2 linked regions of the Stegostoma tigrinum genome follow. The main gene of each other region encodes a partner of the protein of the gene in region 2 in a complex. Links are inferred from orthologs where the notes say so. Each region holds a gene or a part of one and is shown on either strand. Other genes may lie near its edges.

Evidence for each region. Proteins that work in one complex are often made in the same cells at the same time.
Region 1: kif11 (region 2) and mysm1 share a complex: the UniProt entries of both Homo sapiens proteins name them as parts of the large chromatin remodeling complex. The link is inferred for Stegostoma tigrinum from reciprocal best matches to the Homo sapiens genes KIF11 and MYSM1.

What each region holds. Positions count from the first base shown.
Region 1 is NC_081361.1:56,202,506-56,208,172, forward strand, and holds the start of mysm1 (histone H2A deubiquitinase MYSM1), read right to left. Parts: upstream 3,801-5,667; 5' UTR 3,749-3,800; coding exon 3,693-3,748; intron 1-3,692. Other genes in the region: uncharacterized protein si:dkey-86e18.1, read right to left, coding at 4,787-5,250. UniProt on the Homo sapiens protein: Metalloprotease with deubiquitinase activity that plays important regulator roles in hematopoietic stem cell function, blood cell production and immune response.
Region 2 is NC_081373.1:41,823,471-41,829,137, forward strand, and holds the start of kif11 (kinesin-like protein KIF11), read left to right. Parts: upstream 1-2,144; 5' UTR 2,145-2,268; intron 2,269-5,667. UniProt on the Homo sapiens protein: Motor protein required for establishing a bipolar spindle and thus contributing to chromosome congression during mitosis. Required in non-mitotic cells for transport of secretory proteins from the Golgi complex to the cell surface.

The DNA.
Region 1 (5,667 bases), on a different chromosome or scaffold from region 2:
GGACAAGGGGAGTGTCAACTTTTTTAATGCTAGAGAAACATGCACAACTTTGGCTTTAAAGCAATTGTTCCAAATTGCGAGACACATTCAGATGATTGTAGGCTATGGCAAATTTACAAAGCACCATAAGTTCACCGAATAGGATTAGAAAGGGCAGACGCAGGAAAGATATTTCTGAGGCCAGGAGTCTTCAGAACCAGGGGTCACAGACTAAGCTTAGGGGGTAAACCATTTAGGACTGAGATGAGAAGAATTTTTTTCCACCCAGAGAGTGGTGAGTCTGTGGAATTTGCTAGCATAGAGAGCAGTCAAGTCCAAAACATTGTGTGATTTCAGGAAGGAGTTAGCCATAACACTAGGGTCTAAAGGATTAAAGGATATGGAGGAAAAGCAGGAACACACTATTGAGTTGAATGTGAAGCTGGATGAACACAGCAGGCCAAGCAGCATCTCAGGAGCATAAATGCTGATGTTTCGGGCCTAGACCCTTCATCAGACTTTATTATCTTGAATTCTCCAGCATCTGCAGTTCCCATTATCACTGAGTTGAATGATCAGCTTTGATCATCTTAAATGGTGGAGCAGGTGCAGAGGGCCAAGTGGCCTATTCTTCTTGCAAAGTGCAAAAACTCCCAGTATTCCACATTATATTCCATGCAAGATGGATACAAAATTAGCCAAGTGCCGGGAAACAAGCAGCAAGAGTGTAGTCATTTTTCAGAATGAAGGAAGAAGAAAGAGGTCCTCAAGTGTCGATATTAGGGTCCCTGTTCTTCATCATAGCCAAAACACTGGTGTAAATTAGAAAAACTGCAGATAAGGTAAAATTCGGAAATAATGTGAACTAACAAAAATTATGTAAAACACCCCATAGGATATTGACGAAATGAATCGACAAGTGATAGAAAATTAATTAATGCAGAGAAATGTGAAGTGATTCATTTTAGTAGGAAAAATAAAAAGAGACAAGTGTCTAAAATTTCCATTGGTCAGGAAATCACCAGAGCCACGCAGACTGTGGTGGCACATTTAAGATAGTTGTGTGCTGGGACTATGCAAAATTCTACATGCAGCTGATGCCATGCAAATTGCTTGGGAAATTGAATTCTGGACAATGAGCAAATCCCCGGCATCTGGAACACTCCAAAAAGATTCATTAAAAAAAGTCAAGAGATTCAAAGGCTTACAACTCACTTAGGTTTAACAGTCATGCAGGAAAAGTCAAGACGATTAAAAATATAGTCTAACCTTTTGGATTACTATTAAACAGACTCCCTCCCATACACCTCCCTACCGATCCCTTATGACTAACCCTTCACCAGACCACCACATCCTGATTCACCATCCCACAACATTTCCTGTTGCCCATCCACCAACTAGCCAAAGCACCTGATGGCTTACATGGGCACCCTATCTAGCTGGTACAATAACCCTGCACTTACCTTACTGTTACGCCTTCACAGCAGCTATCAAAATAGTATGGTTTCCAACACCTACTCTCTTCACTGCTGGATTCATGAATTCCTAGACTGGCTAGTTACAAGAAATCCCTGTCAAGGAAACTCCAGGACAAGAGACGCAAAATCACAATGTACAGAACAGGCTCTTCGGCTCATCAAGTCTGCACACTAAAAATATACCATAACCTACACTAGTCCAAGCATGGATCCAAATATTTTTTAAAGGTTGTGAGGTTTCCTGCTTCAACTACACTCGCAGGCACTGCTTTCCAGACCCCCACCATACTCTAGCTGAAAATGTTTTTCCTCAAACCTACACTAAACCTCCTGCCTTTCATTTTAAAATTATTTTCCCTCATTACTGACCCTTCAAATAAGTGGAACATCTGCTTTCTATTCGCCCTGTCCATGCCCTTAATAAGCTTATACACCTCTATCAGGTCTTCACTCAACCTTCTCCGATCCAAAGAAAAAAAGCCAAGCTCATCCTGCCTTTCTTTGTAGCTGAATGCTCCATGCTAGGTAACACTTTGGTGAATCTCCTTTGCACCCCCTCCAGTGCAATCACATCCTTCCTACAGTGTGGTCACCACAACTGCACATAGTACTTCAGCTGTGGCCTTACAAAAAAAACCATATAAGCTCCAGCAATGGCCCCATGTTCTTATAAACTATGCCATGACTGATAAAGGTAAGAGTCCCCTATGCCTTAACTACACAAATAACCTGTCCTAAACCTTCAGGGATCTGTGGACAGGCATCACAAAATCCCTCTTTTCCTCTATGTTTCCTAGTGTCTTCTCATTCATCTAAAGCTTAGTTGGTAATTTTAATCTAATCAGGTGTGGAAGTAGAGTTTCTGACCATAATGGAATAGTTATGCCAATATAAACAAAAAGATACAATTCCTAACAGAGTGCAAATGGAGAGAGATCAGGGTATATATGTGATAACCATTCAAGGTGGAAGAACAGGTGAAGAGCTTGGTAATAAAGCATATGATTCTTAGGCATTTATTGATAGAGGCAAACAGTATAAGAGCAAGGAAACAATGTTAAACACATAGTCATGGTTCAGTCATAACTAGAGTACTTATCCAGTTCTAGGCAGCATACTTTAGGAAGGACATAGAGGTTTGACAGGATGCAGAAAAGATCACAAGAATCCTTCCAGGGTTGTAAAACTTCAGTTACAAGATTAATTGGAGACATTGAGACTAATTTCCTTGAAGAGAGGCAATTGGATATAGGTACTAAAGACCACAAGGTATTTCAACAGAGTAGATACGGAGAAAAACTTCTAATTGGTGTAAAGATCAAAAACTAGAGGCACAGATTTTGGTTACGAGACAAAACGTGCAAGAAGAAGAAATCTTTCTTGCAGCGAATCATGCAGATCTGGAATGCACTGACTGCATGTGTAGTTTGATTGATCTTTTAAATGGGAATAGAATCATTTCTCAAAAAGGATCATCTTTGCAGGATTACAGGAGAAGGTGACAAATTTTCAGGTGAACTGCCCCCTCAGATGATTTGCAAAGACTAATGACTGAACGGTTTCCATCAATGTTGAAACCATTCTATGATTCTAGGTGTCTTATTTAATTCTGATTTTTATTCTTGGGAACACTGATAACACCTTTGAGGTGGAGGGTTCAAGTAAGACCGGGCAATTTACTGTCTCAATTCCGGTCATGCACATTTGGATGAATCCTGGCACTAAATCCAGTATGTGTACATAATCTATCCAATATCACTCTTAAAAAGATGTTAAGCTCTCCCAATATCCTGACCAACATTTACACCCCTCAACCATCAAAAGCTCAGCTTATCATTGAAATGTTTTGTTTTGTAGGAATTTCTAGAGCAGAAGTTGGTAGCTGCGATTCCTATACGAAGCCTACCCTTGCGATATACGTACTGTGCTTCGCAGGGGAAATTCAAGCCTCCCCCAGTAGGTTTGATTATTGGATGCATTAAACACACATTCGCTCATTTTAAATCAGGCCCAAACGCAAGTCGCTTAACTCTCAACTGGAATAAAGCAGCTTATAGTGGTTCGGTGAACAGTACACAGTGTAGACACTACAAATGGATCACTGATTTAAGAGATAAATAAACCCAGGCGGCTCCCAGGCAGGTTTACACACACAGGGGCTCTCCATCCACCCACGGAATACTCAGGCTCTGCAGCAGCTAAGTCCCGCAGACAGGCCCTAGTTTCTTCTCTTACCCCAGGTTCAGCTCCGTTCCATCTCCTTCAATATCCACATCCACTTCCTCCGCCATATTGCACCACCAACGTCATTTCCGACACCTGCTGCCCCCTGTCGGATGTCAGCAGCAGCGCCTGATACACATTCACTCTCTCCTGTATCAGAGACAGGAGGAACTGTCGATGCTGGAGAATCTGAGATAACAAGGTGTAGAGCTGGATGAACACAGCAAGCCAAGCAGCATCATAGGAGCAGGAAGGCTGACGTTTCGGGCCTAGACCCTTCATCAGAAATGCTGCTTGGCCTGCTGTGTTCATCCAGCTCTACATCTGGTATGTTCACTTTTGGAACAGGAGTGTTGTTAAAAGGGCGAGTTCACCGTGAAGTTATCCAAAAAAAAATCAACAATTGTATCATTGAGCTTACTTTATAGCTGTGGCAAAGTGTACGTCTTGATTAATCTGAGAAAATCTTCGTATATCACTATTAATAACGCTACCAAAAAGACGAAGTGAAAATAATATGAACTTCATAAGAACAACTTCGAGTCCAAATCAAAATCATGCTGAGAATCATCACAATGAGAACATGAAGCAAAATTAGACAATCAGAAGAAAATCCATGAACGAAAAGGAGGAATTAAATGGAACCTGTGTTAAGATCAGTGGAGATGAGTCATATCAAATTCATCACAATCCTCTGCCATTTAGGCAGGGTTTAAACTGATCTGAACGAGTCAAATACAACAGTAAAAAGATTTTTGTTAGAGGTTGTTGTATTAGCACAAGTAGAATGTCATTTTAGCAGTAGCACTAGATGGCGATGATTTTCACATGATTCATTCTTGATGCTTTTGGATATAGAAAATAAAGTATTTGAAATAAGAGCACCTTTATTTCTGATTTAAATTCATACCAACTATGAGAATTGGAAGAATTTGTATTTCAACGATTATACAATGCAACAAATATACAAATTGCTCTACATACAATGCACAACACCAATAAAAATAAATTTTGAAAATATAGCATCTACACACATTCAGCAATTACAGTATTTCAGACAAAATATTACATGGAACAATTAATGTGAATCAGCTGTTATTTGTTACTTATTTATCTTCATCTGAAGAATAGCAAGATAGTCCCAGAATTCCAGAGCTTTTCATCTGTGAACTAGTTTCTTGAGAAACTACTGATGTCTTGAATGTATGTTTTTTTCCTTCATTGCTTTGCAGCTCTGCAGTGGTTCCACAGGAAGATGATGTTTGTAAGTTTGGTAGGTGAGTGAAAAGAATTTTGCTCATATGATGTGAGCCTTCTCCCAATGTATTTTGTGTGTTTGAGGCCATAGAAAACCTTGGTGGAATTCTAACAGGATTAAACATAAGGGGCTGGTCCTGAAAACTGGAATTAACCATGCAGAAGTCATCATTGACACCAAGTGGTGTCTGTTGATTGAGGAAGTTCTTTTCCCTTTCTTCAACAGGTTTCCCATCACAGTCATCCTCCTGGTTGTCAGCTTCAGTATTGTTTAAAACAGGAATGCATATTTGTTTCAAACTGTGCAACCCAGCTGCAAATAACAAATCTTAAATTACTAAAAAGAGAACTCAAACATTCACATTACAAAATTGTCAGTTTTTTTAAAAAAGACTGAAGATATGAGCAGAAAATTTACATTGCAGTGTAATTAAAATCTACATTCTGAATTTTTCACAACAGGAAGTTGGTTAGTTCATATTCATGGCAAAATCACTTCTGACATGTCATGGCAAGGTATTAATATAAGTTTAACATTAAAAATTCACTTGGAATTTATACAAATTGATGTGTGCAAAAATCATTTGCGAAGAAAACTAAATGAAAGTTCAAAGCTCAGTGGTGAAAACTATGATGAGATAGTAGATAATGTATGATAAATCATTTCTTAGTTTTAAAATGTTAAAAAATTATTTTAGGATGTCTTTGAATAAATAATAAATTAAATGGA
Region 2 (5,667 bases):
TCTACGTCTTTATGCAGAAAGATGGAGAACAGACAGGTCGGGCTAATAAGTGACAAAGAGCATTCACAATGTATACCCTATATATCTAGTGGTCAGAAAAGCAAATGAAAGCAGAGTCCTGTCCAAAGCAGACTGCTTAGTATTGAAGCACTGGCAATAGGGCATGACATGTCGTTCACACACGTACATGCTTGATACTGGACCACCAAAACTAGCTGCAGTAGTTTATGTGGCCCACTCAGTCTGCTTTGCCATTCAAAGAGATCATGACTGACCTGACAGTCCTCAACTCCAATTTCCTGCCTTATCACCATAACCCTTCATTGAAAGCAGGCGACTTCCAGGAGGACAATAGAAATGCTTAAACCATGTCCTTAAAATATCCATGAAGAGTTAAAAAACCGAATAAAAACAGAGAAGATTCATTTGAAAAGGCATGGGAACTTTCTCAGAAACATGCAAAAGTGAAGTTGAGGCATTGGAGAGATTACAGAAACCAACAAACAGCTACTACTCTGCATGTGGCAGACTCTGCATTTCACACATTGGACTTTTTCTGCCATCTCAGCACCCATGACCAGAACCATCAAGTTGGCCTGACTAAGAAGGAAAGCACTCACATGACACAGGTAGCAAGCAATGGACATTTCCAACAAGGCAGATAATTTTTCACAGTCAACAGCATTATCATTGTTGAATCCCCCAAAGTCAACATCTTACAGGGTTATCAATGACCAGAAAATGAACCAACCATATAAAGTGGGAAAGTGTCAGATTCTGCAGTGTGCAATTCACTTCCAAGCTTGTCTAAAATTTACAAGGCACAAACCAGGAATACTCTCCACTCACCTGGATGTGTACAGCTCCAACAATCACAAAGCTCAGCCCTATTCAGGACAAAGTAATCTTCTTGAATGCAACTTATCCACCATCTTCAACATTCGCTCCCTTTACCACTGATGTACATTGACAAGTTTGCACCATCTGCATAAATGTAGCACAGTAACTCCTTTGACCATACCGACTCAAACTAAAACTTCAACGTATAAAGACTAGCACTGAAGACAGGGCTGGCTACTGCCTGCAAGTTCCCCTCCAAGACAAACACCATCCCTGACTTGCAGCTATGTTGTAGTTTTTTTGTCACTGCATCAAAATCCTGGAACTAGTGTCCTACAGCACCACACTTATTACTACTCCAGACAGCCAACAGCAATTCAAAAAGGTAGCTCATGGCCACTATCTCAAATATAAATTGGTCTTACCAGAAACATTAGATCCCATAAAAGAATAAAACACAAATCTTACAAACGTGTTTAAATCATTTCAAGGCCTTGATTATCCTTTAGTCTTGGGCTCCCAAAGTTGGACGTCAGGATCCTAAATGGAGTTCAACGTTGCAATTTTGAAATTGCAAGCTTCAAGACAGTACATATCATTACAAAGATCTGACTGAATTACAACAGTTATGTTCTACCAGGCCCCTACTTCATAGTTTTCTCATCTTCTCTTGAAGAAGTGTCTGACTTCCTACTCATAACATATCCCTCTTTTGCTACGTGTTCACTTTTGTTTGATCATACCTCAAAAAAGTGTGGAAATGTTTCCTACGTTAAAATTGTTGTACAAATGTTCTTTACCTTCTGGTTATGTCCGTACGTGACATGTTTTACCTTTGTAACCAATGTTCACTTGTCTACTACCTACATCCCTGAATTTAATACAAATCCTCCCTTTGTTGAAGAAGTCAACCCACATTTACTGCTGAGGTCCCATCAAAAACATGAAGAATACATTAAATTGTATTCTATAAATTTAAAAGATATTAAAAACGAGATTAGACTCTCGACTTTTAAAGCCTAATTCCCACATTATAAGATTTAACTTTGAAGCCATTTTCTTTGCTCTGAAACACACACAAAACATGGAAATAGAAACACCCTACATCCGGGAACTATTCCCTCATCGCCATGGCCACCGTTACACCTCAGACCTTCCTCTCGTCACAGCCACTGTACCAACACTCCCGGCAAACACCACGCATCAAACGGTCACTAACCAATCGGAAAGACGCGAGGTGGCATTGGCCTGTTCTGATTGGATGATGTTCGCGGAAGCGCACTTTTTAAATGTGTAGTTGAGAGCGGCCGCAGGCTGCTTGCTGGCGTTCGGGCTTTGAATCGGGGGGTCTGCAGTAATCGGAGTCGATAGGAAATCATACCAATAGATTTTCAGAAAATACGATTCGCCTACTTTTCGTCAGTTTTGGTAAGATTGATTCCAGTCTGTGTCTTAAAACGATTAGATGAGAAGCCTCCCTGGGCTGAAATGGTCGGTGGAGACTCTATGTGGCCGCCTTTTGTGCTGAATTGAACTTGTTCATAGCCAGAACTGCGATTAATTTGTAAATTAATAGCGCCAGATTTATCTGATTTGATTCACTAGAAGTGATAGATTTTTTAAAAATTGTCTCTTGATGAAGTTTGCATCTGTTAAAGGCCGGAGTCTGGCTTTTGTGGGAAATGTTCATCGCCCGCCTTGACTTCCCCATAATCTTCGTTCCAGTTTGATTTTAAAGATCTTCTGAGGCTGTGAAAGATAAATTTCCCGTTGTTGTTGTTGAAAAACTTCCTGTCCGGACAAATTATCTCTGCCAGGGTCGCAAAGGATTTTTAAATTTGGCAGCAACATTTGTTTTCCCTTCTCCCCAAAGTGACGGGCTTCCGTTTTAACAAAAACTTCGGGGGAAATCGCTTTATAGTGAAATGTTTCAAACGAAGTTTTGATAATTCGCTGAGAAGTGGGCTTTCTTTTTGTTACCTAGTCTGTCAGAATCTGCACCCAACCTACCTGAGATTTTACATATTCGTAACTAGCATTTGTCTTTGTTTGAAACTTAGCGTTTCAAGCATAGTTTTTGTTTCAGTGCAACGAATGAAAACTGAATTAGTAAAAAATCACGACATTTTTTAAGTACAGTAGGAAATTGTTACCTACATAGTTGTTTCAGAGGACTGTTGTTTGAGACGTTGTTTAAATCAGTGTCTTTCAAGTGGAACTTAACTGCATGCATGTGTATCTGGTTTAGCTTAGGCTAACTCCTCTTTTTTATAAAGATTTTAATTATGTAGTTCTTTTCAAAAAGAAAATGGAGAAATCACTTGGACCAGATAGACTACATCCCAGACATATAGAGATGGTATCTGGAGATTGTGGAGACACTGGTGATCTTTCAGAAATCACTGAAGTCAGGGGGTGCCACAGGACTGGAAAATGGCTAATGTAACACCCCTGTTTAAGAAGGGAAGGAGATAGAAGACAGGAAATTATAGATTGGTTAGCCTGAACTTGATTGTTAGTGAGATTTTACAGACCATTGTTAATGATGAGATTGCAGATTAATAGAAATGCATGGTAAAAACAGCCTGGTTTTATCCAGAGGGGATCATGTCTGACAAATGTTAGAATTCTTTAAGGAGGTAACGAGCAAATTAGAAAAAGGAGAGCTGGTGGTATATTTGGATTTCCAGAACACTCTTGATAAGATGATTCACAGGAGACTGCTAAATAAGTTAAGAACCCATGGTGTTAGGGGCAAGTTACTGGCATGGGTAGAGGATTGGCTGACTGATCAAAGGCAGAGCATAGGAGTAAAGTAGTCCTTTTCAAGATGGCAGTGAGTAAGTAGTGGGGGTTCGCAGGGGTAATTGTTTGGATCCCAACGATTCATGTTGTGCATTAATGATTTGGGTGAATAAACCAAGGACATCGTTGTTAAACTTGCAATTACACAAAAGTAGTTGAGCAACAGTGGCACTGAGGAAGTGGGAAGATTGCAGAAGGACTTGGACGAGTTAGGAGAGTGGGTAAAGAAGTGGCAGATGCAATACAATGTGGGAAAGTGTCAGATTATCCATTTTGATAGGAATAGCAGAGGCATGGACTACTTTCTATTTGAGGGAGGAAATGTTTTGGCTATCTGAAGCACAGAGACTTGGGAGTCCTAGTTCAGGATTTTCTTAAGGCTAACATGTAGGTTCAGTTGGCAGTCAGGAAGGCAAATATAGTATCAGTATTTATTTCAGGAGAGCTGGAATACAAGAAGAGAGATGTAATGCTGAGGCTGAATAAGACTACATTTGGAATATTGAGTAGTTTTGTGCCCTGTATCTAGGGAAGGACATGCTATTGTTGGAAATGGTCCAGAGGAGGTTTACAAGAATGATCCAGGAGTGAATGCCTTGTCACATGAAGAGCGGTTGGCAACTTTGGTTCTGTACTTGATGGGGTGTAGAAGGACAAAGGAGGATTTAATTTGAAACTTGTAGAACACTGAGGCCTGGATAGAACGAAGGTGTAGGAGAGACAGGGACGCACAGCCTTAGAGTGAAGGGAGGATCTTCAAACTGAGATGAGGCAGAATTTCTTAAGGGTGGCGAACCTGAGGAACTCATTGCCACATGAGCCTTTGGAGGTCAGGCTACCCGAGTGTATTTAAGACAGATGGTTCTTGATTACTCAGAAGATCAAGTGTTACAGAGAAAAGGTAAGAAAGGATTGAGACACATCAGCCAGATTGCATAGTGGAATAGAGTCAATGGCCCAAATGGCCTAATTCTGCTTCTGTATCTTGTCGTCTAAAAATACACAACTTTCAGGCCATGATGAAATGTGGAAATGGAACCCAACATTGTCGGAGGTTCATAGTTGCAAATGTTGAATATCTGATTTGTAACATGTCTAGCACTTGAGATCTTTGCCAAAACCTCCCAAATTCAAAAGAACCTGATAAATAAGTATGGGATTAAATTGTTTGGTTATGCATGCTAGAATTAGTGTTAAAATGAAGGTATTTTGTGTCTACAGTAAGATTTGGTAGATTTGTTTGCATTATACTGTTACAGTGAAATTGTTTAAATTAACTAAAAAAGTACAATTTTTGTCCATCTCAGAGGAACATAAGATAAAGTTGCACGGTCTTACAGGTAATGTATTGGCATGGGTAGAGAATTGGTTGACCAGTAGAAAGCAAAGAGTAGGGGTAAATGTGTGTTTTTCTGTTTGGTGGTCAGTGGCTAGTGGTGTGCTTCAGGGATCAGTGTTGGGGCCGCAATTGTTTACAATTTACATAGATGATTTGGAGTTGGGGACTAAGTGCGGTGTGTCAAAATTTGCAGATGACACTAAGGTGAGTGGTAGAGCAAAGTGTGCAGAAGACACTGAAAGTCTGTGGAGGGATATGGGTGGTCTGCGAGTGGAGATGTGCAGATGGGGTACAAAGGACTAACAGCAAAATGGGCCATGCTTTAAAGGGTAAAAATTGCAGTACGCTGCTGTGCAAAGGGACTTGGGTGTCCTTGTGCATGAATCACTAAAAGTAGGATTGCAGGTGCAGCAGGTGATTAAAAAGGCAAATGGAATTTTGTCTGCCATTGCTCGAGGGATGAAGTTTAAAAACAGGGAGGCTATGCTGCAGCTGTATTGGGACCTGGTGAGGCCACACTTGGAGTACTGTGTGCAGTTTTGGTCCCCTTACTTGAGAAGAGATATGCTAGCACTGGAGGGGGCGCAAAGGAGGTTCATTCGATTGATTCCAGAGTTGGGAGGGTTGGATTATGAGGAGAGACTGAGTACGCTGGGATTATACTCATTGGAATTCAGAAGAAT